7 linked regions of the Xenopus tropicalis genome follow. The protein of the gene in region 7 purifies or fractionates together with the protein of the main gene of each other region. This does not show direct contact. Links are inferred from orthologs where the notes say so. Each region holds a gene or a part of one and is shown on either strand. Other genes may lie near its edges.

What was found.
Region 1: the proteins of sec13 (region 7) and nup160 purify together in Homo sapiens (affinity purification with mass spectrometry; 4 studies listed by BioGRID and IntAct, counting the BioPlex papers as one, with this or other methods). This does not show direct contact. The link is inferred for Xenopus tropicalis from reciprocal best matches to the Homo sapiens genes SEC13 and NUP160.
Region 2: the proteins of sec13 (region 7) and nup37 purify together in Homo sapiens (affinity purification with mass spectrometry; 5 studies listed by BioGRID and IntAct, counting the BioPlex papers as one, with this or other methods). This does not show direct contact. The link is inferred for Xenopus tropicalis from reciprocal best matches to the Homo sapiens genes SEC13 and NUP37.
Region 3: the proteins of sec13 (region 7) and nup107 purify together in Homo sapiens (affinity purification with mass spectrometry; 8 studies listed by BioGRID and IntAct, counting the BioPlex papers as one, with this or other methods). This does not show direct contact. The link is inferred for Xenopus tropicalis from reciprocal best matches to the Homo sapiens genes SEC13 and NUP107.
Region 4: the proteins of sec13 (region 7) and sec16a purify together in Homo sapiens (co-immunoprecipitation; 4 studies listed by BioGRID and IntAct, counting the BioPlex papers as one, with this or other methods). This does not show direct contact. The link is inferred for Xenopus tropicalis from reciprocal best matches to the Homo sapiens genes SEC13 and SEC16A.
Region 5: the proteins of sec13 (region 7) and nup43 purify together in Homo sapiens (affinity purification with mass spectrometry; 3 studies listed by BioGRID and IntAct, counting the BioPlex papers as one, with this or other methods). This does not show direct contact. The link is inferred for Xenopus tropicalis from reciprocal best matches to the Homo sapiens genes SEC13 and NUP43.
Region 6: the proteins of sec13 (region 7) and nup98 purify together in Homo sapiens (affinity purification with mass spectrometry; 4 studies listed by BioGRID and IntAct, counting the BioPlex papers as one, with this or other methods). This does not show direct contact. The link is inferred for Xenopus tropicalis from reciprocal best matches to the Homo sapiens genes SEC13 and NUP98.

What each region holds. Positions count from the first base shown.
Region 1 is NC_030680.2:15,991,165-15,994,664, forward strand, and holds part of nup160 (nuclear pore complex protein Nup160), read left to right. Parts: coding exon 1-114; intron 115-366; coding exon 367-482; intron 483-561; coding exon 562-719; intron 720-1,553; coding exon 1,554-1,687; intron 1,688-1,872; coding exon 1,873-1,940; intron 1,941-2,040; coding exon 2,041-2,209; intron 2,210-3,072; coding exon 3,073-3,142; intron 3,143-3,238; coding exon 3,239-3,337; intron 3,338-3,470; coding exon 3,471-3,500. UniProt on the Homo sapiens protein: Functions as a component of the nuclear pore complex (NPC). Involved in poly(A)+ RNA transport.
Region 2 is NC_030679.2:49,117,406-49,119,602, reverse strand, and holds the end of nup37 (nucleoporin Nup37), read left to right. Parts: intron 1-921; coding exon 922-1,035; 3' UTR 1,036-1,697; downstream 1,698-2,197. UniProt on the Homo sapiens protein: Component of the Nup107-160 subcomplex of the nuclear pore complex (NPC). The Nup107-160 subcomplex is required for the assembly of a functional NPC.
Region 3 is NC_030679.2:58,822,486-58,826,632, reverse strand, and holds the start of nup107 (nuclear pore complex protein Nup107), read right to left. Parts: upstream 2,801-4,147; 5' UTR 2,743-2,800; coding exon 2,645-2,742; intron 2,519-2,644; coding exon 2,427-2,518; intron 1,547-2,426; coding exon 1,466-1,546; intron 494-1,465; coding exon 378-493; intron 1-377. UniProt on the Homo sapiens protein: Plays a role in the nuclear pore complex (NPC) assembly and/or maintenance. Required for the assembly of peripheral proteins into the NPC. May anchor NUP62 to the NPC. Involved in nephrogenesis.
Region 4 is NC_030684.2:6,531,904-6,535,403, forward strand, and holds part of sec16a (protein transport protein Sec16A), read right to left. Parts: intron 3,265-3,500; coding exon 3,175-3,264; intron 2,939-3,174; coding exon 2,882-2,938; intron 2,799-2,881; coding exon 2,687-2,798; intron 898-2,686; coding exon 760-897; intron 664-759; coding exon 572-663; intron 485-571; coding exon 434-484; intron 1-433. UniProt on the Homo sapiens protein: Acts as a molecular scaffold that plays a key role in the organization of the endoplasmic reticulum exit sites (ERES), also known as transitional endoplasmic reticulum (tER).
Region 5 is NC_030681.2:58,289,835-58,294,123, forward strand, and holds the start of nup43 (nucleoporin Nup43), read right to left. Parts: upstream 2,801-4,289; 5' UTR 2,508-2,800; coding exon 2,385-2,507; intron 1,563-2,384; coding exon 1,440-1,562; intron 1-1,439. UniProt on the Homo sapiens protein: Component of the Nup107-160 subcomplex of the nuclear pore complex (NPC). The Nup107-160 subcomplex is required for the assembly of a functional NPC.
Region 6 is NC_030678.2:177,452,780-177,456,279, forward strand, and holds part of nup98 (nuclear pore complex protein Nup98-Nup96), read right to left. Parts: intron 2,934-3,500; coding exon 2,849-2,933; coding exon of another isoform or gene 2,798-2,848; intron 644-2,797; coding exon 551-643; intron 278-550; coding exon 137-277; intron 17-136; coding exon 1-16. UniProt on the Homo sapiens protein: Plays a role in the nuclear pore complex (NPC) assembly and/or maintenance. NUP98 and NUP96 are involved in the bidirectional transport across the NPC. May anchor NUP153 and TPR to the NPC.
Region 7 is NC_030680.2:131,808,915-131,813,068, forward strand, and holds the start of sec13 (protein SEC13 homolog), read right to left. Parts: upstream 2,801-4,154; 5' UTR 2,598-2,800; coding exon 2,595-2,597; intron 1-2,594. UniProt on the Homo sapiens protein: Functions as a component of the nuclear pore complex (NPC) and the COPII coat. At the endoplasmic reticulum, SEC13 is involved in the biogenesis of COPII-coated vesicles.

The sequences.
Region 1 (3,500 bases), about 120 Mb from region 7:
AGCAGATTATATTACCGAAGACATGGCATATCAGATGGAGAGTGCGTGCTGCCACCCACAGTCACCAGAGAGAGTTGCAGAGCAGATTTTGGAAGATTTGATAGCCAATGACATGTAAGGAAATAAGAATTGTTATCTGTGCCAGTCGCACATCATCTGTAAAGCCCTGCTTGCTACAGTGTTTTATGGTAGAGCAGCAGTAAGCAGGATATTCCTTGTAGGTTACTATTTCAGCACCAATTTAAAAAAAGCACAACCAAACTGTCCTGATTTAGAAAAAGTGTAACGTGTAAAATTTGATTTAAATTGCTTTATTAGGTAAAATACAGACTGTAAAATATCTGTTTGTTTTTTTATGAACACTAGAGACAACATCATGGAAAATATTCAGAATAAACTGCAGGACATCAGGAATCCAATACAAGCTATTAGTTTCTTGCTTCAAAATATGGATTATGAAACCAACATGGACATGGAACAGTGTAAGTCTGGGTTTCTGCAAAGTTTTGTGTGTTTATAAAAGACTGCATTTTAATGGTGTATTTAATGGGTCTGTTTCAGCGCAACATAATGTGAGACTGAATCTTTCTACTCTTTATGGGAGTGTTACTGCTTCCAGTGTGGTATGTCAAGCCATTTACAAAATCTCTGCCACAAGATTCTTAATATGTCGGGACTTGCTTATTCTTCAGCACCTCTTGCTGAGGCTAGGGGACATGGTGAGTACAATTCCACAGCCATTTAAAAAAACTTAATTGTAAAAACAAAATAGCTTTCTCTTTTTTTATGGTTATATTCTAGATACAGCACTCTGTAAAGTGGCCCACGTCCTCCCGCCAATCTATGCCCCTTTAATACAGGACAGAACCTAATTTCCCATATCACTACTTACTGCCATTGCTTCCTACAGCCAAGTCTACAAGGACTCCTAAGTCCTTCTCCATAATGGATTTGTCTAGTGCAGTCCCATTAAGGGTATAAGAGGCTGCATATTTTTAAATTCCAAATGCATAACCTAACATTTAGCAACATTGAATCTCAGCTGCCACTTAGCCAGATTGCTAGTTGATTTAAGAACTCTAAGAACCCTACTTCAAGAATGTTTCAATGACAACCACTCCCTGTACACAATTCTTTTTCCTGTCTATGTACAAACAACATTACCAAGACCAACAGTTCCCCTGAAACAATGTCACACATATGCACAATGAGCAAGCTGAAACACTCCTCATTATTTGCATGCTTTGAGTCCCAAGATGGCTGCCCCAGCTGGGACCTCTCTCTCTCTGTGAGTGGCATAGCACTCACTACAAGCATTTTTTGCCTAAAATAGTTTCCTCTAGTATGAGTGCAGGGTCCATTAGCCCTCACCTCTGGTGAAAGAAACTTTTTCTTTGAAATATTCTCCTGTACATAAACTATACATAAACTATATTGAAAACCTGTCAGTCATTGGCAATACGTACAAATATTTTAGTTTGTCGTGGATTGGGACAATCCCATTGAAAAGGGGTGTTACATAACCGATCCTTTTTTTTTTTATCTTTTGTTAGGCACTGGTTGGAGCAGGGCAGCTTCTTCATTCTCAGCAGGAACTTATCCCTCGCGCCGCTCAACTGCTTTTGTCCTATTACATGATCCGCTGGGGGAGCCAGTGTTTGGCCTGTGCTGTCCCAGTAGATTTATTGTAAGTTTTTTTTTTGTTTTTTGGGTTTTTTTCCAAGATAAAAATGACAATAATACAGTTTATATAATTTTAGTATTGTGTTTAATCACATCAATTGTTTTCCACTGAGTCATGACAATATATGCAAATCGGATCTATTTGTTGATTCTAAAATAAACACAGAGCGCTATTTGCCTTCCTTATAGAGAGTCCAACCTGCAGCACCTCTCAGTTTTGGAGCTTTCTGATTCTCAAGTAGAGAAGCGCAGATACAGTAAGTATTGATTTCTTGAACTTTTTTATCTTAAAGGAGTCTTTATCTTAAAGTTTTCAGCGCTCTTCATGCATTACAGTTTAATTTTTTTCCCCATTAGCCAGTGGAATCCAGACCATTGTGGAATTGTTTTTTGAAGATGTAGGAAGAAAACATTTCCCTCAAGTTTTTGCCCACCTTTTCATTCAATCTGGTTCAAGTCAGGTGCACAGATCTTTAAACTGGGCCGATCTTATACATCGCATTACCAGCTACCTCCTACAACTTCTGTATCCTTGCCTGTGTGCCATCTGCACTCATTTTACTGTAAAAACAGTAGTTTTACCTTTAGATTGTGTTGGGAGTATGAGGTAGACAGATATTCATAGTGTCATATTATTTTTTGTGGTTATTGAATTATTTACATTTTTTTCCCAGCAGCTCTCCAGTTAGTATGGTCCAGTTTGCCCTCACAACAAGGCAGCAGTTGACATTAGGGGGGCAACAGGGGGCTAGTTCACGTTCCTGGACTGTTGGGGAGTGGACTGTAGTTAGTCCTCAAACTATTGCGTTGGGCGGTGAGACGTGGTGACGTGTGGCAGACAGGTAGTAGCCAGAGGCGAGGACACAGCGGGGGCCGGGTAAATGACCTTGGGGAGCTGTATACGGCCAATGGGCTGTAGTTTGAGGACCCCTGCATTAGAGGATCTTACCGAGCCAATCTTAGGTCCATCCGCAGAGCACTGTGGTGTGGGCGTAACACTTCACATAAGACTTGTGCCCAGGGGCAGGGTGCAAGGTACTAAAAACATGCAGTTTTGTGCTCGTACTTTGCACCCTGTCCTGCTCTTAGTAAGTGAGTCTTCCAATTTTAAGTGTAAGTTTAAATTGTAACCAAAATACCATGCACACAGTGGTTTTATTAGCAATTGATACATAATAAAGTGGAAACTTGCAGGCAGATGTTTATAGCTGTCAGTCATAGCTTTCCATTCAAATAAATGAAGGTTAGAAACAATGTTTTGCTCTGGGCTAAAGGGTAATGTTATTGGACAGTTGTGACCTCACTTTCTGGTTAACTCTGATAGGGTATCTCTCTTGACTGTTCTTTTATTGGCTTTGGTCCTGTTCCTTAACCCCAGCCACATACCAGATGGCCCAGTAACCCTAACTTCCAGTTTGCAGAATGCCTGATGAGAAACTGCCAATACACACAGCTCCAGGTAAAGATGTAGTTTATTCTCCTACACATGACTTTATAAAGTCAATTAAATTATCCTGCAATTTGTTCATTTTTTTTTTCTTGCCCTTTCATCTAGGAATATGTCCGGCTGCTTTTACCATGGTGCCAAGTTAATGTTGGTTCCTGCCATTTCATGTTGGCCCAGTGTTACTTGGTTGCTGGAGAAGGACACAAGGTGAAACTCTGCTAATAACATTCTTATGACAACTCTATTTGTGCATCATACCTATTGGGGTCCAGCTCCATGTGATACAGAGCATAGTATTCCTATTTTCCAGTAGGTGTTAATTTCTCCTTATTATCCACAGGCTTTAGATTGTTTCAGTCAAGCAGCCTCC
Region 2 (2,197 bases), on a different chromosome or scaffold from region 7:
ATTTCCTATCTGATCCCCCATGTTTCTCTATGAGGGGGCGGCCATATTTGTGCAGCAGGGGTCTGTTAGCATTAGAAGCTGTAACTGACAGGCTGAGAAGGGACAGTCAGGTTGGCAAAACAGTCAGGTTTGGGAACTTGAAGTAACAATTACTCACACAGGCAGCCCTATCAGTGAAAATTGATCAACATGACTTATAGGTAACTTTTTATGTAGATTCATATTTTAAAAAGTAGTTTTTTCATGTCAGTATCACTTTAAGGCATCAAACTAGATGTTAATGACAAGGTAAACTGAGTTTTAAAAACATATTGATCTAAATTGCATAGTGGAGCATCATTACATGTTTGTCTTTACTTCCCATGCATTTTCAAGCCACAGGTAGAATTTTCAGGAAAATGTAACTGAACTTGATTAGGTTGATTAAAGTTCTGGGTTTGGTGTTTACAAAGATGATAACACAAGTTTATGGAGAAATTTAAATAACTGAGCTGGTTTCTATGCAAGTCTTTACATAAACTCCATGAAGTTAAATATAATTCTTTTTCAGGATTATTAGTAATCTTGTAATTTGTTAAACTACCCCCACCCTTATCTAAGAGTGATTGGCCAACCTTGGTAATTCTCAGGTCTAAATTTCAGTAGACAGCATTATTATTATGACTATGGGAATTATTATTATGATTATAATACTCAGACTTTCGCACAGAATCCTATGTGAACCAAGTTGCAATTTGCCTTTAGAATAGCCACTCCTGTTGTGATTTATTTCCAATACATTTTACATTTTCTTAATTGTAGATTTTCTGCATGAGAGTGTAAATGCTTTTTTAGGCTTCAGAGCCTTTATAACCGTTATATATATGAATTAGAAAATCAGACATGCAATGTAACATGTACTGTAACAATTTTTCTCTTTAGCCGATTCTTATTGGGACTGCCCCTGTGGGATCTGGACTAAGCTGGCACAGAAGACTCCCTCTTTGTGTTGTGGGGGGATACCGCAAGCTATTCTTCTGGCTCACAGAAATGTAAAAAAAAAAAAATAACCTTTACTGTAACGGTTTCTAAAATGTTTTTTTGTAAATGTAACTTCTTGGACAGGGCATGATTATGTTCATCTACAATCTGTCTTATTTAATGTTTTGGTCTTCAAAACAAAGGATATGAATGGACCTAAATAACCAACACCACTCGTTCAGAACACTGATATAATTGTCGCTTTAATTTATGAGCAAAGTTGTAGGTCATGAGGCACCTTCTGTACCCATAACTAATTTCTTAGGCCCCTTAAGACACTTACATGGAGCCAAGACAAACTACTCCATAAGTCCAAGGTGATTAAAGTTGCCTTTACATATTACATTTTTGTTCAAATGAAAAATTGCATACTGACTTTCCAGGAAGAACATTTTTCATAAAGTGCTGCAAATAGACTAAATCTATATGCTGAAGATCAGTGACAGCAAGTTTTATAGCTGCACAGGGAGGACATTGATAGGGGAACATAATGCTGAAAAAGTACACACGGCTTTAGTACTGAGAATATCTTGCCAAAGCCCTGAATGAAAAACATTACTGTCGACTACCAACATCAGTAGCTGTTAAAGAACAATGGCTTTTTCTGTTAATATGTACATATGTGCATATACAACATATTTTTTGGTCTTTATAGGCTTATAAACTTAATTTTTATATAAAAACTTGTTTATTTTTTATATTGTATTTTTTATACACTTGAAACTGGTTCCTTTCATTGCATGGCTACATTTCTAACTGTTTAATCATAATGTACAAGTATCTTGTTTTCTGTGTCTTATCCTGACAATCTCCCCCAAATTGAATGTTAAGATCTAGTTCACATTACAATTCTTCTTGGATTGTGTAGAACAAAGTTGAATATTTTGACGTCAAAGTGGGTTCAAATTTTGTGATCTGTCACTCTGCCCAAACAAAATCATACTGCTATTTTTGCCGACGCCAAAATGTCTGCTCATTAGGTAAGCCTGAGTCAACAGTGGGTTTATTATGTGTAGGCCCATCAGGAGCTGTGCTTCTGGCAGGAACTGTTAGGACATGCCCACTCCTCATTTAAAACACAGACAGAGACCCTAGCAGATCTATAGGGTGCTCCGGTAAAAGGGTCATATTGTGACCAGCAGGATATATGGTTCCTTATACTGTATTTTGTGTGGCC
Region 3 (4,147 bases), on a different chromosome or scaffold from region 7:
CACAAAATACGTATAGGATAAATCACATGAAAGAGAAACTGAAGACTAAAGGTGGCCATACACTGTAAGATTCACTGGTTTGGCAAGGTCACCAAAAGAGCGGATCTTCTTCCAATTACCCACCTTAGGTGGGCAATATTGGGCCAATTAGACAGTGCCGTCGGACCGAGGACCGCATCGGCTTGTTCATCCAATGGAAAAATCAAACCTGTCGGAATCTGCACAATTTTAGGCCAGATGTCAGTTGGCTAGGCTTGTCGGGGGTTCCCATACACGGGCAGATAAGCTGCCCCTAAGGCCTTAAGGACCTGAATCGGCAGCTGAAATCTGCCTGTGTTGTGCCGCCTTAATGCCTTCTGTAGAATGGATTGTCTTACCATAGACATGTTTGCCAAACGCCCAGGAGTCTGTACCAAGCGAGGTGATCGCCCTACAGTGCCCAGTATTGCCGAAACATCTGGTGGCCTTGAAGAATTCCAGGTTTGTGGCGTCACTAGGTAAAGGTGAAAAGTACATTTACATACCAGAAAGCAAAAAAAAAAAAAAAAGACTTTCACAGCATAAATACTATGTTCAGTATTACTTTTTTCTTATATCCAAACTGTAATAAACTGCAGCTCTGACAAAATCCTTAAGCCATATTTTGAAAAGAGAGATGAGCTTTCCATAGATAAGGGTTGTTTACTGTGGGGGATACGGGTTGTCATTCCCCCAAAATATCGTCAGAGGCTCTTGCATGAACTTCACGAAGGCCATCCAGGTGTAAACAGGATGAAAGCACGAGCTCGTGTTACAGAAGCACAAGCAGTACACTGACTTACAAAAAATTCTATATCTTGATCCAGGCCTGGCCACCACAGGTAACCACAAGCTTGTGCTTTCATCCTGTTTACACCTGGATGGCCTTCGTGAAGTTCATGCAAGAGCCTCTGACGATATTTTAGGGGGAATGACAACCCGTATCCCCCACAGTAAACAACCTTGATCTATGGAAAGCTCATCTCTCTTTTCAAGATATGGCTTAAGGATTTTGTCAGAGCTGTAGTTCGAGAGACCCTCTCTCAGCATTATAAATCTCATCCTCGCCCCCACTGTAATAAACTGCTGGCTAGCAGTGGGTTAATACTGCGGCTGTGTTAGTTCAGGTAAAGTAGTCAGATACACACTGGAACTTTTGGTATATTTATTAGAACATGGCAGGTAGATTTGGCCTGCTCTCAGCTTAACAGGAAGCACAAGACAGGAATAGGAATATCATCATCAAGAAATGGCAAAACAGCAAGAATGCCCTTAACCAAAATGTCTACACAAGCAGGTTACTATACAAACTCATCTGAATTTTATAATAACCATGACTGAATGCTGATATTTGTAAAACACAAGTCAGTGGGACAGTTTCTACAAGATGAATCAAACAAGCCCATGATTATCAACTGCAGACCCAGTTTATATATAAACATCTTACTGTGCTGTCGAAATAGTGTTTGTCCTGTTGTGCGAGATAATGGGCCTCTTGCTGGTGTTGCATTGCTCCAGCTCTCATCAGCTAGGCAAGACGTTAAGTGTGGCAACAAAAGCTTTTTCTGGAATCAGTTCAATATTTCCTCTCTAAACAGTACCAGGGAAACAAGCAAGCACCGGGAAAATATTAGCCGACTTTCCAGCTTAAAGTAACTAATCATTATTGTTGTTTGCGTTTCTTATTACACTGTAATTGCATTGCCCATGCATAGCCTCAGAACAAAAAAAGAACAAAAAAGTGCAATACTGGTTCTGTTGCATTCATGTAAGGCAAAAAGTCAGGGAGTCATGACGGGGAATGCCTAAGAGACAGGGTTAACCATGTTATTTGCTTTAGAGACATGTAGGATAATGTAATAAAGGCTTAAGTTTGGTCACACATATTAACCCATAGCAGTAAGTGCTACATGCTGATTGGCTCCTATGGATTACAAGACAAGACGCATTTATTAAATTAACCCATCAAAGACAATAAAAGGCCTATTACTGTGTTTTTGGTGCAGGTACTGCTATCAAACATCTGTGGTCCATAAACAGCCTGTTAATATTAATAAAAACCCACCCAACCTACTCCTACGATGGGTTATTTCCTTAATTAGAGTAATACTCAGACACTGCAAACTTAAATATACTATCACATTTAATCAACACAGATTTAAAAATGAAGCCTTAACCATTTAAAACAAAGGGGACTCAATAAAGGAGGGGCCCTTCCATTGATTTTAGAAAAAAATGACATGCAAAACATAAACACTAATCACAAAGAAATTATAGTAATAGATAAATGACAACCAAAAATTTCTGTTAACTTCCAATGTCATTTTTGTTTGATCAAAAGCCTTCCCGTTTGATATTATTGGGGACACCAGTGATTTGTGATGATAGTTCACATTACAAAAGGATACCAGGATTCCTCCTGTTGGAGCTTTGGCGGCGAGCTGCTCTAGAAACCTCTGCCTCCCGCACTACCGGCGAAAGCATATCCATGCTGGTCCTGCTGCAAGAGAGCACAACACGGGGTCAGTCCTTCCTATGTTCGATGTGTATTCTGTGAGAAAGTCCCGCTATGATGCACACAAGGTTGCAAACATGTAACAGAAAAGTCTAGCAGACCGATACATACAGGCTAGAGGGAGAACAGTCCTTCAGTCTACTCAATAGAACGGGACTAAAACTTCTGTGAATAAGCCAGAAGTACCGAAAGCTGCAGAGAGAGAACATGTAGGTACCGTAAGCTCCCGCCCTCCCATTCAAAGTGTGCAGCGTACTGACAGCAGGGACCCTGACTAACCCCTAACTGAATACTACCCAACAGTCCCGCTTGTCGATCCCGATTTTCGTAACACAGCCAGCAGCCGCAGATTGCTACTTACACCTTTGCTACTTACTCCTCCCGTAAAGCTGTTAATTGCAAGCTCCTAGCCTCCTGTCTTACAGAAAATCCCGACTCCACATGTCTCCTCACGCGAGACTGTGACGTACAACTACACGCAAGCGTCGTGACGCATCACGTAGCCGCCTTATGGGAGTGACGAGCAGAGACAGTGCGCTACCCAGTAAGGCGGCGTTACACAATTGGTAGCTGCTAATAAGTAGCTTGGATTTGTTCTGCTCGCACTTCCTACTTTTGTTGGAGAACAAAAAGGGAAAAAAAAGACTCTTCTTAGGAGGTGATTGCTCTCCTCCACCTCGAATCTCAATATTTCCTCCAAGTCAATTATCTTTTCTGCTCAGAGATCCTTGTCATTGCCAGGGAGCTAAAAAAGAGTTTCCTGGTTGCTAACGGTACCGGCTGCCGTCAGAACCTTTTCTCCCAGTCTGACCAAAAAGGGAAGAGTTATTGTGAAAACTAGGGCCAAGTGAAATGAGGTCATGTTTTTAGGGGTTTTTTTGTACTTTGAGGGTTCTGGTGGTTTTGTGCAAACTAAGGGCTGATTTAGTAGAAGACTTAGAGGCAGGCCAAGCTTTAAGCTGGCGATTGATGAGACTAATAACCTTATAAACTAATAACCCAAAGGCTGCAAAATCTACGTTAAAGGCTGAATCGGTAGATTGGATACCTCCATATCTGACAATTCAGCTTTGAATGAAAGTGGTCGCAGGAAATAGCATAATTGCATAATTGTATTGCCACCTTTAGGCAACCTGGCCGACCACCTCACCCCCGCTGCAACCCCATCTGTGAATGAATGCACGTGGACATTGTGAAGGGGGGGAAGTGCTGCGCGCAAGGTGTGCAGACTTTGTGGGGGTGGAGCATCAGGGGCAGGGGGTAAGAGATCCCAGACCAGGAGTTGGCAAAAGCAGTACCTGTAGCATTCATGTGTAGGGGATCAGAGAACTCGATTGGCTGGATGTCCCAGTGCAGTCTGGGAGGAGGTGTGCTTAAGTTTGGAGCCAAAAATCAAGGGGCGGGTCCAGCAGTTGATAAAGGGAGCCCCTGTTGTTTTGCTGGTTTTTTTGGGAAGAGAGATACAGAGTGAGCAGCCAGTACCACTTGTTGTTAGTTCAGATTGAAAAGAGAAGAGTCTGCAGGGTTGCCAGTGATTACAAAGTCCTCTGTGGAATCAGTGTGTGTCCCCTGGTGAGAACAGTTATTGCTTGCTTGCCTGCTACGTGGGAGCAG
Region 4 (3,500 bases), on a different chromosome or scaffold from region 7:
ACCGAAATAATTAAAAAACTACAAATAATAAAAAATAAAGACCAATTGCAAATTGTCTCAGAATATTACTCTCTACATCATACTAAACGTTAACTCAAGGGTGAACATGAAGGGGGGGGCGATATAACTGCTTAAAGTGCCAACCTGCGGCTGCTGTTGTACTGCAACATCCCAGCAAGGCTGGCAAGGGATGCTGGGAGTTGGGAGGTTGCACTTCCCTGATAGGCAGGGAATGAATGAAATAGTGACGGAAGGTCTCTGCCCGGCCAGCATTAGAGCGCAGGCAGCACAGCACACTCACACACAGTAACCGGACCCGGATGAGGGAGATGAAAGTTCTAATGTTACATGTTCTGGTTAAATGGGGGGGGGGGGGGGGATGGGGCTCCTCGGATAACGGACACCAGCTGGGTATCATTGTTTTGCTTCTTACCTCTCCCATTTGCCCCTCGTCCTGATCCAACCCAGGGGTCAAACCGGGCAACTATGAAATAGACAGAAAATATATGGATAAGCGCCATTTAAATCTCTTAAAGGGGTAGTACAAGCTAAAAAGCAGCAGCAGCGGTACCTGCGCCTGGGGAGGGTTAATGGGCCCCATCTGGCCGGCTGCTGGTACCATTTCTGCCCCGCTGGCTTCCGCAGGGTGGGCTTCCTCCGGCACTGTCATTAATAGAAAGCAGTCGTGTTATCCAGATACCCCCAAGCCAGGGATACTATCTACCCCACACTCTATGGTATGGGAACTCAGATTCCTACCTGCGTTTGGGACAAAGAGGTTTGTGGGGATGGGCATGGGGGCCAAAGGTGCAAACAAGTCCGCAGGCGGAGGGACAGAGTTGGTAGGCCGGGGACCCCCCGGGTTTAACACATCGACATAACGACCTCTTGCCCCCGCTGGAAAGAGAAAAAAAAAACGTTATTCGAAGTGAAAAAATTGCCAATATCATAAAAAAACAGGAGGGAGGGCTGATTTACCCTTTAAAGCCATTTCTCTACCTTTAGATGTAGAAAATGCTATTGCAATTGGTCTTGATTTTTTTTATTATTTGTGGTTTTTGAACTATTAAGCTTTTTGTTCAGCAGCTCTCCAGTTTGGAATTTCAGGCGATATCTGGTTGCTAGGGTGCAGTTTAACCTAGCAACTAGGCAGTGATTGGAAAAGGAGACACATTTGAATAGGGGAGGGTCTAGATAGACAAATAAGTAATAAAAAGTAACAATAAAACTGGAGCCTCACACAGCGATAGTGATTTGGCTGCCGGGGTCAGTGACCCCCATTTGAAAGCTGGAAAGAGGCAGAAGAGAAAGGCAAATAGTTCAAAAACTATAGAAAAAAATAAATAAAATGAGGACCAACTGAAATGTTGCTAAGAATAGGCCATTCTATAACAGATTAAAAGTTAACCTAAAGGTAAAATATTATAGAAAGGCCAATTCTAAGCAACTTTTCAATTGGCCTTCATTATTTATTTTTTATAGTTTTTCTATTATTTACCTTCTTTTTCTCTTTGCAGCTTTCAAATGGGGGTCACTGACCCCGGCAGCCAAACCCTATTGCTCTGTGAGGCTCCAGTTTTATTGTTATTGTAACTTTTTATTCCTTATCTTTCTATTCAGCCCCTCTCCTATTCATATACCAGTCTCTCATTCAAACCACTCCCTGGTTGCTAAGGTAATTTGAGCCCTAGCAACAGGATAACTGACCCCGGCAGCCAAAACCTATTGCTCTGTGAGGCTCCAGTTTTATTGTTATTGTTACTTTTTATTCCTTATCTTTCTATTCAGCCCCTCCCTTATTCATACACCAGTCTCTCATTCAAACCACTCCCTGGTTGCTAAGGTAATTTGAGCCCTAGCAACAGGATAACTGACCCCGGCAGCCAAAACCTATTGCTCTGTGAGGCTCCAGTTTTATTGTTATTGTTACTTTTTATTCCTTATCTTTCTATTCAGCCCCTCCCTTATTCATATACCTGTCTCTCATTCAAACCACTCCCTGGTTGCTAAGGTAATTTGAGCCCTAGCAACAGGATAACTGACCCCAGCAGCCAAACCCTATTGCTCTGTGAGGCTCCAGTTTTATTGTTACTTTTTATTCCTTATCTTTCTATTCAGCCCCTCCCTTATTCATATACCAGCCTCTCATTCAAACCACTCCCTGGTTGCTAAGGTAACTTGAACCCTAGCAAGCAGACAACTGCTAAAATGAGAAATTTTCTGAACAAAAACTGAAATAATTCAAAAATGACAAATAACAAAAAATGAAGACCAATCGCAAATTGTCTCAGAATAGTGCTCTCTACATCATACTAAAAGTTAAACAACTTTAACCCAGGTCAACTTCAGAAAAAAAGGTATTAAATCAGGTTCTATCCTTTCTCCCAAAGCAATAGAGTAGGCACCATGGGGGCCCAATTATATCAATTATATGCCCACTGGTCAGATGGACCCCCAGATTGGTGGGGCTTGTTACAAAGCCCCTTTCATGAAAAACCAAACCCCATTCATAAATAAACCCACCCCACCCATCCAAACCCCACCCACTCCTTTACAAGCCCCACCCCCTTTATTGGCCTGAAAACCTGTTTGGTTTTTTTGGGGGTTTTTTTTGCCTTGGGGCCCCTGAAAGCAGTACCCCCCAGCAATGGCAGCCCTGACCGTACTAGCACCTGAGCTATATTACCTGCTCTGATGGAGAATACATTGACGGAAGGATTGGGGGGACCCCCTGGGACAGCTGGGGTGCTCTGAGGCTTTTTAAGCATCCCTGGTGGCGGCGGAGGCAATGGTTTGCTCTGAAAGAGAGTTGGGATGTTATGTTACCTGTACCCCCGGGTATATTTATAGGGTACCCCCACCCCAATATTCACCGGCTCACCTCTTCCTCTGGTTCATCCATGTTCACCCACTTCTGCTTCTTCTCATCCCACACAATCTGCAACAAAAGAAAGGGAGACGCTGAGCACTCTGGGTAATTCCTTATAATAAAACGTACTGCACTGTGATTGGCCGGGTGAAGCAAAGCAAGGGACAGAAGGCAGGGGGGCAATATAAGCTTTTACAGGTAAGTAGTGGGGTAGGTATCCAAGCAGGGCACCACCGGAGAGGCCGAGAGCAGCTGATAGGGGATACAGAGTGAGCGCGGAGCTACTAAACAACAAAGGTCCTTACAGATTTATTCCTGTCATCAGGTAAGTGCGCTTCGTTCTTGCCTTTTCCCATCAACCAGCCAAATTTCAGGGGAAACCAACTTCTACCACTCTAAAAAAATCATTAAAGATACACGGGGATCAGGATCAGTCTATCATTGTAGGAAGAAGTAAAGCACCGACGGATCACTGTGCCGCTTTTTTACCCTTATCACCACCCCTGGTCCCCCTACTCGGCTTATGTCTCAGGCCTACGGATAAGGAGGAGTTATTATTATTATTATATATACTATTATTATATGGGGGTTTACCCTGTGACTTTGCTGAAGAACCAGGGAAGTGAAAGGA
Region 5 (4,289 bases), on a different chromosome or scaffold from region 7:
GTGGGTGCCATACTCTGCCTGCCCTATGCTGCCTGTGGGTGCCATACTCTGCCTGCCCTATGCTGCCTGTGCCATACACAAAGGCAACATAGGGCAGGCAGTACATACTGTGACTCAGTACCATGTCCTGAGTCATCAATTGACTTGATAGAGCTGAGTCATCTGTGTCCTTGCCTAGTGGTTCTTGCAACCCCAACTTCTCTACTGTATACACTGTAGAAAAGAAATCCTTAAGCACATTTGCTTTCTATGGTCTTTTATACCCAAATCACCTCCATTTCCACAGTCCACACCTACATCTTTTTATAACTTAGATACTTTGAAAATGAGGAGATTATTGCTGCACAGGCAAAGACTAATCTCCAAAAGTATTTCACCTTTGCCTTCCCTATTGCTGCTTTACAACACTTGTGGTATTAACATTCTTTACAAGAATCATCTGTCCCCTCACTTGTAGTTTTTAAAAGCCTTCCTCTTCATTCCTATTAACTTACTTACTCCCACATATCATGCAGCTTAACACTCATATATTCATTTAGATAACATTATGGTCACCATTACCCTGGGCTTCTAGTGCATTTGTTTTATCACTAGGTCAAGTATAGCATAATTCCTTTAGGGGCCCTGAACAATCTGTGACATAAAATTGTTATTTAGTAAGTTTGTAAACTTGTTAAATTAACTGTTCTGACACTAATATTAAGGTCTCCATACACAGGCCGATTCTAGCTGCCGATATCAGTCCGTTAGACCGATTCAGCAGCTAATCGCCAGTGTATGGGCACTACTGATGGGCCTGCCCAACCAATATCTCGATCGGGCAGGTTAAAAAAACCTAGTCGGATCGGGGACCCCATCGGCTTGTTGATGCGGACCCTGAACCAACTTTGCCTATACCGTCGTTATAATTAGATCAAATCAGCCTGGATTCTCCAGATATCGCCCATCAATAGGTGGGGGATATCGGGAGAAGATCAGCTCGCTTGGCGACATCGCCAAGCGAGGGAATCTGAAGGTGTATGGGGACCTTTACTCCAATCAATATCTAATGAAGTCAAATAATTCACTATTATGACTTGACCCAAACTAGCATACCATTATAATTAGTTTGCCTGATGTCTTAAGATTTGTGAAAAGTTCAAACACAAAAGGGCCCTCTCATTTTCCACCACTTATTAATAGGCACCAACTATGACAATACAATAAATAAAATTATTATGTGAACTTATTAAGGAAAAGTGAATTTGAATAAATTGTAGTTGAATAGCCTATTTCTTCAAGGGCCGGGATTTCATACAGTTTCATTTCTTTTATGGCTATTTTTTATATAGTATGGGGGCAATTGGTCCCTTGGCTAGTGAGATAAGAATATCCTTATGTAGAGGAAACAACAGAATGTAATTATGTAGTGTAAATAAAAAGTTCCTTTGTTAAGGTACCTGCATGTCCATAACATCGCCAATGTGTCTGATGTCACACAGTTGTTTAGGATCTCCTTGGTATTCTTCTTCTAGACTTATGGCCCCAAAGTCTGAAGTGGCCCACACACATACCTTGTTTTCCTTGAGCATTAAAAAAAAAAAATCAGTATATGTAGTGTATTGACATGTCATAAAACTGTATGCAAAACTTTCACTAAATATATCAAACTTTGATATGCCTTAACACTAAGGGGCACATTTACAAAAGCACGAATGCACGAGCGTTCATGTGAACGCTCCGAGCGTATTTTCGCAGATTTTTTCGGGCGTCCGCACGACTTTTTCATACGACGCTCAACTTTTTCAGACGTTTGCACGAAAAAATCGGAAAGGTTTTACCGCTGTTTACAATTGTTCGGTATGAAAATTTCATGACTTTCGGGTCGCCAATCCGATATTATCGTGACTAATACGATTTTGTCATAAGCATTTACGTGATATTTGCGATCTTACGAAATTTTCGTTTCCAATACGATTTTTTCCCATTCGTGATTCGGATTCTAAGGCAGTGCTATTTGACATTTGTAGCCATCAGTGGAACTACATCACACTCTGGCACTTTGTGGTGTGCTGTGTCAATAATAATTAAAATTGTGCTAGGAAAATGACTAGATTTACCAACCCCCATTAAGTGTACCCAGGGCTCTTGTGTTACAGGAAACTGTAAGCTTCTTGTAGAGGGTAATACGTCAATGAGTACAAACACATGGCTGCACAATTATTACAATGATCTAAATTAACCATGTAATACTTGGGAAATGCTGCTCTTCCGTAGTTTAAATAACTGTAAGAGTTTGACAGCAGGGGATTCAGGGTATTATAGATCACCTACAGCCGTATCATTGTGATTTTTAGTTTACTCCGAATGTTGGTTAAACACATTTCCCCGTGCCACAACCATACCTCATTATCCCAGGAACCCGTAGCAAACACATCCGGTTGCTGCAGCGACGAGGCCGACACTGGGCGCCAGCGAGTTCTGCTAATTTTGTGAGAGACAAATTTTGCAGCGAATTTATCGTCCATGACACCCTTAATTTTGAGGTTGGCTATGCCACCACTACCCCCTTAATGACGAACACGTCCAGATTACAGGGCTATGTTGAAAAAAAGAGGCAGAGCCTGAAAAAAAGCCGCCAGACGGCGCCTTGTCTGCCACAAGCGTTCTGATTGGCAATTCTCAACAACCCAAACTGTACTTTCATTGGCTATAATTTCCCCGCCATACTTTCTACAGAGTAATCGCTGAGGTGACCAGTGATCGGAGTAAGGAAATAAAATGAAATGCGTTTATTAACGCATTCGTTGCCACAGTACAGTTCAGTGACTATGGCTTGCGCTAAACATACTTTGTTATTAATTATATAGCGTTATCCTTTCATACTGGGTTTTACAGCGTAAAGGAATACAAGACCAAACGGTTAACATATAGAAGTCCTGCTTGTGGCCTAATAATTTAATTAAGAGGGACTTATGTTTGTGTTACAGTGAAACCTTAATTTTAAATAACCTTATTTTGGGTTTTCCCACATTTTACACTGTTTAGGTGGACCCACCGACTTTTAATGCATAATACATTTCTTTGCTTTTACATTTTCCTGGAATTTTACATCATTTCTTTCTGGTCTCCTGAGAAATGTAAAATGGGGGTTTTACTGTATATCATGCACCTTATAAATTATAGGAGGAAAGCACATTGGGCTGTACCTAAAGTTGCCACATTTTGTACAGAAACATATTGGCCACATAGTGAAGAGGCGAGCCGGTGACATAAGGGGCAGGTGGGACAAGGAGACGTGATCATAACATAAATAGGCAAATTGGGCAGGGATGTGGTGAGAAGGGCAAAGTTATACAGTTTTTACAAATATGCACCTATATATTACATTTACAATTTAAAAATATATATATGCCCCCAGCCTTAGGGCTCTGGCACACAGGGAGATTAGTCGCCCGCAACAAAAACTCCCTGTTCGCGGGGGACTAATCTCCCCGAGTTGCCATGACCCGCCATCCCACCGGCGAACTTGTAAGTCGCCGGCGGGATGGCACTCCCGCGAACAGGGAGTTTTGTCGCAGGCGACTAATCTCCCCGTGTGCCAGAGTCCTTAGTAAATCTGGTAATGGAGCTGGGGGTGCATGGTAGGGGGTTGGGTTGCACTGCAGAATTGTCACCACGCACATGCAGCATGTGAAGTCACTTTCACAACGTAGGGGTATGTGACATCACGGGCACAATGATGTCACATCTGCAAAGTAGGGGGTATAGTTAGGTCTGGTGTCTAGAGTGGCATTGTTGTGTACCACTAGAGGGAGCTGCATGCCTAAATGTTAGCTCAGCTACATGTGTTATCCAGCTTGACTTTCTACTTATCCTGCACAACTCCACTGTGAACCCAACAGGCACCAAACCTAAATACAGCACTGTAGCTAGCAGAGATGAAAAGGTAGCATTTTTCCAATGCTTTAGCTATGTAATGGGCTCTCCCTAAACTGCCATGTACAGTATATACTTTCCTAAAATTCTTGTATACACTGCCAAATGGTCTGGCCCTCCCCACAAAAATAAAAAATAATACAAACTTCACCTGACAGAAATAAACTTTCTACATATAGTAAAAAAAATGTGCTGTTTGAATCCCTTAAGTGAGCATATTTACATTTGGTTCTAAAAAATTTAGCTGGTCCAGTTTGTTTATGTAAGCAATATTTACTTTTTATGCTATTGCGCTCTTTGCATTAGCCTCAGGGTGGCACTTGGGGCCCGAACACAGCTTTTACTTTCCTTGGCAACTGAACCTATCACCA
Region 6 (3,500 bases), on a different chromosome or scaffold from region 7:
GGATCAGACAGGGCTGCTGTGAGACACAAGTAATAAGAAGAGTTCAAGGCAAAGTAAAACAGCAAATTAAAGATAACAGTAAATTAGCCCTGGTGCTCAAAAGGTTAGTTTTCTCCTATAAAAAGACAGCACTCACCGACTGGGGCCTGAGGCGCTCCAAATCCCAGGCCTGCTGAGGTACTGTTAAACCCGGCATTGCCGAACGCTCCCGTACCAAGTGTACCAGTCAGCTTCGGCTGGTTGCTCCCAAACAAAGATGTCTGCCCGGGGTTTAGCGCTACAAAAAGTCAAGAATTAATTATTCCTCTCCTTGAACCACACATTGCAGTTTTCCTATATGCACCCAACTATTGGCAAGAAAAGCCGTGGCAAAAGCACATTTATAAGCAGCACAATCATGTTGTGCCAACAGACACAAAGCTGTTCCCATTGCCTTCTATGGGAATTGTCCCATGTGGTGCCCCCTAGTCAGTTCTGGCCATTATGTTAGACATCTGCCCATCTAGATTTTTTGCTAACTAACTATATTAGAAACATTTTTCAATTTTACCTGTTCCAAAGCCCGTCCCAAGGCTCGGCCCGATGGTTCCCGTTGCTGTCTTATTGCCAAACAGGCTGGTTCCTGCTGTGTTTGAACCAAACCCTTTAGGACAAATATAGACGGGTCAGCTCCTTTAAACATTTACAGTTCTAAAATGGCATTTGTGAATCACCAAGAGTAGAGAGGAAAACCCATAAATATCCCAATTTCAGCAGATCCCAAAGCCATTTAGTGCCAGTTACAAGTGCATTTCCCCTAGCGGAGCACTAAAGCCAGACAAGGTTACGCTCTGGGCCCTGCACGTACTTACTGGAATTGAGAGAAAGGAATCATATCTGGGTGAGGTTCTACAGAGAAATCGGACTTTTGCCCCCAATGAGAATATTAATCCTGCTTTTAGTGTTTCAGTATTTGCTATTCTGCATTAATAAAATCAAATCTTCAGTTGAACAGTCAATACTTGTGTAGCAGGGCCATGAAACATGTACATCTCATAGGCTCTAACTAGGAACATCAAATCCAGTTCATGAAATCAATCAGAACCCTTAGGGTGAAGGCACACTGGGCTACTAGTAGCAGCTATTTTTTCCAAGGCTACTGCACTCCAGAAAATCCCCTGCTATAGACAATATTGAGAATTGCCTCTGCTATAACACACATAGGGACAATTATTAGTGACCAGCATTGTCTAGTTTAGTAGTCACGACAAGTAGCTGCTCTACTAGTAGCTCTGTGTGTGTGTGTGTGTGTCTACACCCTTAAAATAAAGTGAATTTTTGTCACAAACATTGAAACAATCCACCCTTTTTTCTCCAACCCAAAGCCCAAAATAATTGATTTGGTGCATCCCTCGTTCTAACCGTAATGGGATAACTGGACAAACCTTTTCATTGGCATAGTCATAACAACCAGCACAGGATATATATTACACATGATCAATTATCAGCCCAACAAGCATAGGGATTGGAGCAGAGTTTGCAGCAGAGCGCCCAATGATTAGGGCACTGGTTTTAAAATGTCTATCACTTTTCCCAATATAACTGCAGGGGTAAAATTATGGGGCAGCGGAATGACCTATGGGGGTAATGGGGCAGAGGAATGACCTATTATGGGGAGTTTTGATGAAAAACACATTGAAGCTTCATCAGCAAAGCCAAGTGCTGTGGGAGAGCCCCCCCCCAGGATAAAAAGTGACCCTTTTAGGGTACTGGACATCGGCCAATCATTAAGTTCACTGCATATTAACCCCTTGCAGTTGTGCTTGCATTATTAACTCTGTTGAACAGACCCAGGCTTGAAATACCTCTGCTAGGACCCAATGGTGGCAATTAAGGGTAGAAGCCTCATTGTGAGCAATATCACCAGAACCCCAGGGCACTTCTGTGGGATACTAAGATCTGAGCCTTAGCGGGCAATGGCAGAATACCCTGAAGCCTCCATCAGCTATTGCCTTCTTAGAGGCAAAATGCATTCATATATTCTTATTTTTGTGTAATTTCCGACCCCCTTTCCCGCTGGAGGGCAACACAAACTCACGGTGCCCAATGCAAAATTAGTTAACAGACATTGATCATGCAAACATTAAACCTAAATTCAGGCAGAGAGTTAGGGAGAAAGTAAAGCAGGTAAAAGAAAAGAATGCAGGTAAAGACAATTACAGTTCAGTTATACCAAAATGAGAAATGGAAATGTAACCCTATATAATTGTATTGCCGAGTTTATTTAGAAGAGAAAAGGCTATAAAACTCCCTCTTAGAGTGCGAGAGGTGAAGTGCTCGGATACACTGTGTATACCACACTAGGAGGCTTCACTAGGTTAGTAGTGATAGTGCACACGTGGCCATGCCAGGCACCAATAACCTGTGAACTGCAGCAGAGAAAATCAGAGGATTGTGGGTAAGCCGAACATTACCGTGCATGAACGCCACACATTGGGGCAATAACTAGCGCTTATGTTGGCAAACTCCAAGCTGTTCCATTGCACGGAATGATGAAAGCTCTGGGCACGGCGAGGGACATGCATTATGCCAGGTAAGGCAATAGCCTATTATACTGACAGTAGGTGCAATAGCATTCCACTTGGCACTAATAGGAGATTAGGCGGAGATTACAGAGATTCTCCTGCTAGTTAAGCAGTTAGTCTGTGCAGTCCTAGCGCTGCCCGATATCCATCTGCGTTTAGTCTGGCGCAGCGGGACAGGTGGTATACCCAGTGTAATGTTAGAGATTACATCAGGTTTGTTTTCTCATATGTACCAAAATTGGAAGTGTTTGTATTGGTTCCTAAAGTCAGGGTTGGTTTGTTACCAAAGAGCCCGCCAGTCGTAGTGCCAAATGCAGGGGCACTGGTCGTGGTCGTCCCGAAACCAGCAGGTTTGTTACCAAACAGGGTCTGGAAGGGGAAGAGAGAGACAAAAGTTACTTTCATTTAACTATACGACTGCCAAGCTGGGTCCAAATACACGAAAGGCAACATCTGTAGCATAACTGCCCCTCCCTTAAAGATCTATCATTTACTTCCTAACAGTCCTTTCCTCAAAGATTCCAGCAGGCTCTGCTATTGTTCTCACATGTTCCATTCAATTGATCTGCTGGCTTCATACTATTTGCAAATGATTCCATTTTCTTTTCATTTACATTAAGACATTTTAAAACTCGGTTTCCATGGGAAAAGCCTGACCAACTTCCCGAATAACTTCCTAATAGGATAGATATATCCTATAGATGATGATACAGATAGCAGCGAAGAGATCCGAACTCACAGGACTTATAGAATTAATATGGTGTAGAAGACTACACCATAAACTCCATATTAATTCTATAAGTCCTGTGAGTGCGGATCTCTTTGCTGCTGTATCTAATTCTTCACCTGGACCTGCACCCAGGCTATTGTGACCGATTGGCTTGAGTGCCGGATCTAATATAATATAATATATATTATTCTCAACTTTTCCCAGGG
Region 7 (4,154 bases):
GGGGCCTATGTGGGGGACGCCCGTACACCCCAGTTCGAACCTGCCTATTTGGTCACTTACAGTTATACAGAGACAATTTCTGTGTTACTATCAACAATGTTAGGCACCCCAAGTAATTATAAACCAGTGCTCCTGTTTGGTGAAAACTGCATCAACCTGGGGTACTTCTGTAGAAGCACCATATGTAAACTACTTCCACTCCTTCCACTCCCCAGACCAGCACATGTGCTGCAGAGTGAAAAAGCTGGCTTTTTGCTTAAAGTTCACTCTACAGCCCATGTGCCTGATATGAAAAAAAGATTGTGATGTGGTGCTCTATAGAAGACCCTCGGTTTTGTGCAGTTTTCTGCTAAAAGAAGCGCCGGCTCAGGGTTTCAGGTACGTGATTACAACTTTCCTTCTCTTTAATGGATACTCTTTTGAGCTTATCATATTGCACAAACTGGCTCTACTCACTGAAGGACAAAGTCTACCGATGACTGTGCTGAGCAGCCGCAGATACAAGGCCTCCCCTGCACAATCCTGGTTAGCAATCTAGCTGCATGGAAACACTATGAATTTGGTGCATACCAAGGGCCAAATTCATTAAAGTACGAATTACAAGTACGATTTGCGAAAATTTGCATTAAATACAAAAATTTCTAATGTGCGTTAATTTTGTGAAAAATCACGTTGTGCTTGTACGAAAATATTGTGGTATGATCCGAAAGTTACGTAAATGGCGCGAAAACCTTTCTGACTTTGAACCTTCTGTGCATGATTTTGGAAGCCTCCCATAGGACTCAATGGCACTCTGCAGCTCCAACCTGGCCCAAGGAAAGTCTCCCATAGGGCTCAATGGCACTCTGCAGCTCCAACCCGGCCCAAGGAAAGTCTCCCATAGGGCTCAATGGCACTCTGCAGCTCCAACCCGGCCCAAGGAAAGTCTCCCATAGGGCTCAATGGCACTCTGCAGCTCCAACCCGGCCCAAGGAAAGTCTCCCATAGGGCTCAATGCCACTCTGCAGCTCCAACCCGGCCCAAGGAAAGTCTCCCATAGGGCTCAATGGCACTCTGCAGCTCCAACCTGGCCCAAGGAAATTCTCCCATAGGGCTCAATGGCACTCTGCAGCTCCAACCCGGCCCAAGGAAATTCTCCCATAGGGCTCAATGGCACTCTGCAGCTCCAACCCGGCCCAAGGAACGTCTCCCATAGGGCTCAATGGCACTCTGCAGCTCCAACCCGGCCCAAGGAAAGTCTCCCATAGGGCTCAATGGCACTCTGCAGCTCCAACCCGGCCCAAGGAAAGTCTCCCATAGGGCTCAATGGCACTCTGCAGCTCCAACCCGGCCCAAGGAAAGTCTCCCATAGGGCTCAATGGCACTCTGCAGCTCCAACCTGGCAAAAGGAAAGTCATGATACCGAAGCTTGAATGAATCCAAAACTTTTGTACTCGTTGCGACAAATACGATTTTGTCACAGAAATTGTTGCAAAGTATGAAAAAGTCGCTCAAATAAATGAAAATATCGCAGAAAATACGCAAAAGTTGTAAACTTTAGAAAAAATAACATTTTTTTGTAATCAGACCTGTCATACTTTAAAGGAACAGTAACACCAAAAAATGAAAGTATATAAAAGTAACTAAAATGTAATGTGCTGCTGCCCTTCACTGGTAAAAGTTGTGTGTTTACTTCAGAAAGTCTACTATAATTTATCTAAATAAGCTGCTATGTAGCCATGGAGGCAGCCATTCAAAGGAGAAAAGGCACAGGCACATAGCAGATAACAGATAAAACACTATTGTATTCTACAGAACTTATCGGTTATCTGCTATGTAACCTGTGCCTTTTCTCCTTTTTTCCAGCTTGAATGGCTGCCCCCATGGCTACACAGCAGCTTATTATATAAATTATAGTAGTGTTACTGTAGCAAACACCCCAGTTTTACCAGTGCATTATATTTTTATTACTTTAAAGCTCTTTCATTTTTTGGAGTTACTGTTCCTTTAATGAATGTGCCCCCTACTATACACATGCCCTTCCTATAACACACAGCCTTGTTATACAAAGCCAAAACAATCAGGGTTGAATGTTACTTCAGGCAATGTGGCCCCTCATTACTTTGATCCCTTATCCAGGCACATCAAGGCTGCGGATGGAGAAGAGAGGCCCCCTGAGATTGCTACCAGCAGATACCTGTACCATATTGTGCAGCACTGTATAATAGAAAGGAGCATACAAAGGGTACAGAGGACCCTGCTCAGTAGAGCTTACAATCTAAAAGAAGGGTGTATGAAACAGAACTTTGCAGAAAGGCCCTGGCTCCTGTTGGTGTCCAATTTACAGCCCTATAAGTATTGTAGAACTACAACCCTCTGCTCTGGCTGTGGGTGGAACAGGTGGAGGTTGGACATACTCGATGCATATAGATTGCATACATGCCCTCTCTGCCACACCCAAGCACCACTTTTACGCCCTGACACCCTACCTACTATACTGAGAACCTAAATGACGATGTAGGAGGACAGCCCTGGGTGCTGGCACACACTGAACACTATGACAGTAGGCAGTCCCCCAGAGCAGCACAAACTCCTGCCTACCAGGCGCTACTCACCATTTTCCTAGACCGAGTGAGGTTCCTTAGCTACAAAGTAACTCTCCCCTATTCTCAGACGTGGCAGCTCCCGGCAGCTCCTCGCAGGATCTTGCTCAGCAGAACTTCCGGGTGTACAGCGCTTCGTTTGCTCCGGCTGCAACAATAATCACTTCCGGGTGTAGTGCGCTGCAGGACCCAGCCGTACTTCCGTGTCCGTACTTCCGGTGCGCAAGTTCGGTCGGATTCTAGTAGTTTGAGCGCGTCACGTATAAATGCGTACCTTGTACGTGAAGTAAGTCGTTTAGGTCAACAAGACGATTACCTTCATTTATAATGAATTTTAACATAGTACTAGTGAGTGAGAAGTTTCAGTGTGTTACTTAGTGACTATTGACTGTACGTAGCGGAGAACTAGTGGCAAACAGCTTAGAGAGAACAGCATCCCTTCTGTGAGGCAGCCAGTATATCCACTGTATTTAGAGCAGGTTACCAATGCCAGATTATGTGAAACATGAGTGAATTATTTGCTCACCTTTTACAGTGAGCCAGCTACCAAAGCAGCTTGGGGTAGTGACTGGGTTACCATGTTTCCCTTGCTCCAGCTAGGCTTTTGTATGGAGCACTGTACTTACATGCTTTTGTCTGGATTGGGATAGAAATGCTCTATTTATATTCTGTTCCATAGAGAGACAGAAGCCTATCAAGTTCTGCGCTTCCAAATGAACCAATGTGCACATCATGTATCACACACATAAATGGTGCTATATATACGCTCCCTTATAGTACCTATACTAATGTATGTATATCTTTATTTATAAAGCACTACTTATGTATGCAGCGCTGTACAGTAGAATTCATTAATACAGACAGGGGGTTAATAAGATAATAATAGATAAATACAAAGTATAACAAACAGGGGGTTAATAAGATAATAATAGATAAATACAAAGTATAGCAATAAACACAGATAAATACAGCTGCAATAAGTTAAGAGTCGAGGACACAAGAGGAAGGAGGTCCCTGCCCCGTAGAGCTTACAATCTATATGGGAATATACTAATTAACTGTAGCTCTTAATGATACCAATAGCCTTGGATATTCTGCTTCTTCAAGAACTCATCCAGGCCCCTCTTATAGGCATTAAACAGAATCTGCCATTACCACATCACTAGGAAGAAAAAACGAATGGCACTCAGGACTACAAACAAGGGTAAAACCCTTTTAAAAGTTTATTGCGGAGGTGCAATTTTTTTGCACCTCCGCAATAAACTTTTGAAAGTTTTGAAACCCTTGTTTGTAGTCCTGAGTGCCATTCGCTTTTTTTGTTGCTACAGTGTTTTTGGAGGGTGCCGATCCCTCCAGCAGTGTGCACCGGACAAATTTTTTTGGAGTGTTAGGGTGTGCGGTTAAGGTCTCTGTGGTCCACATCACTAGGAAGGGCATTCCCCAACCTCACTGCCCTCACAGTGAAGCTCCCCCTGCGCTGCTTCAAATGAAATTCTGCTCCTCTAGTCTGAAGGGGGAATCTCTGATGTGTTCTTTTCTATGGGCAAAAAGATCCCCCACTAGCTGGCCATA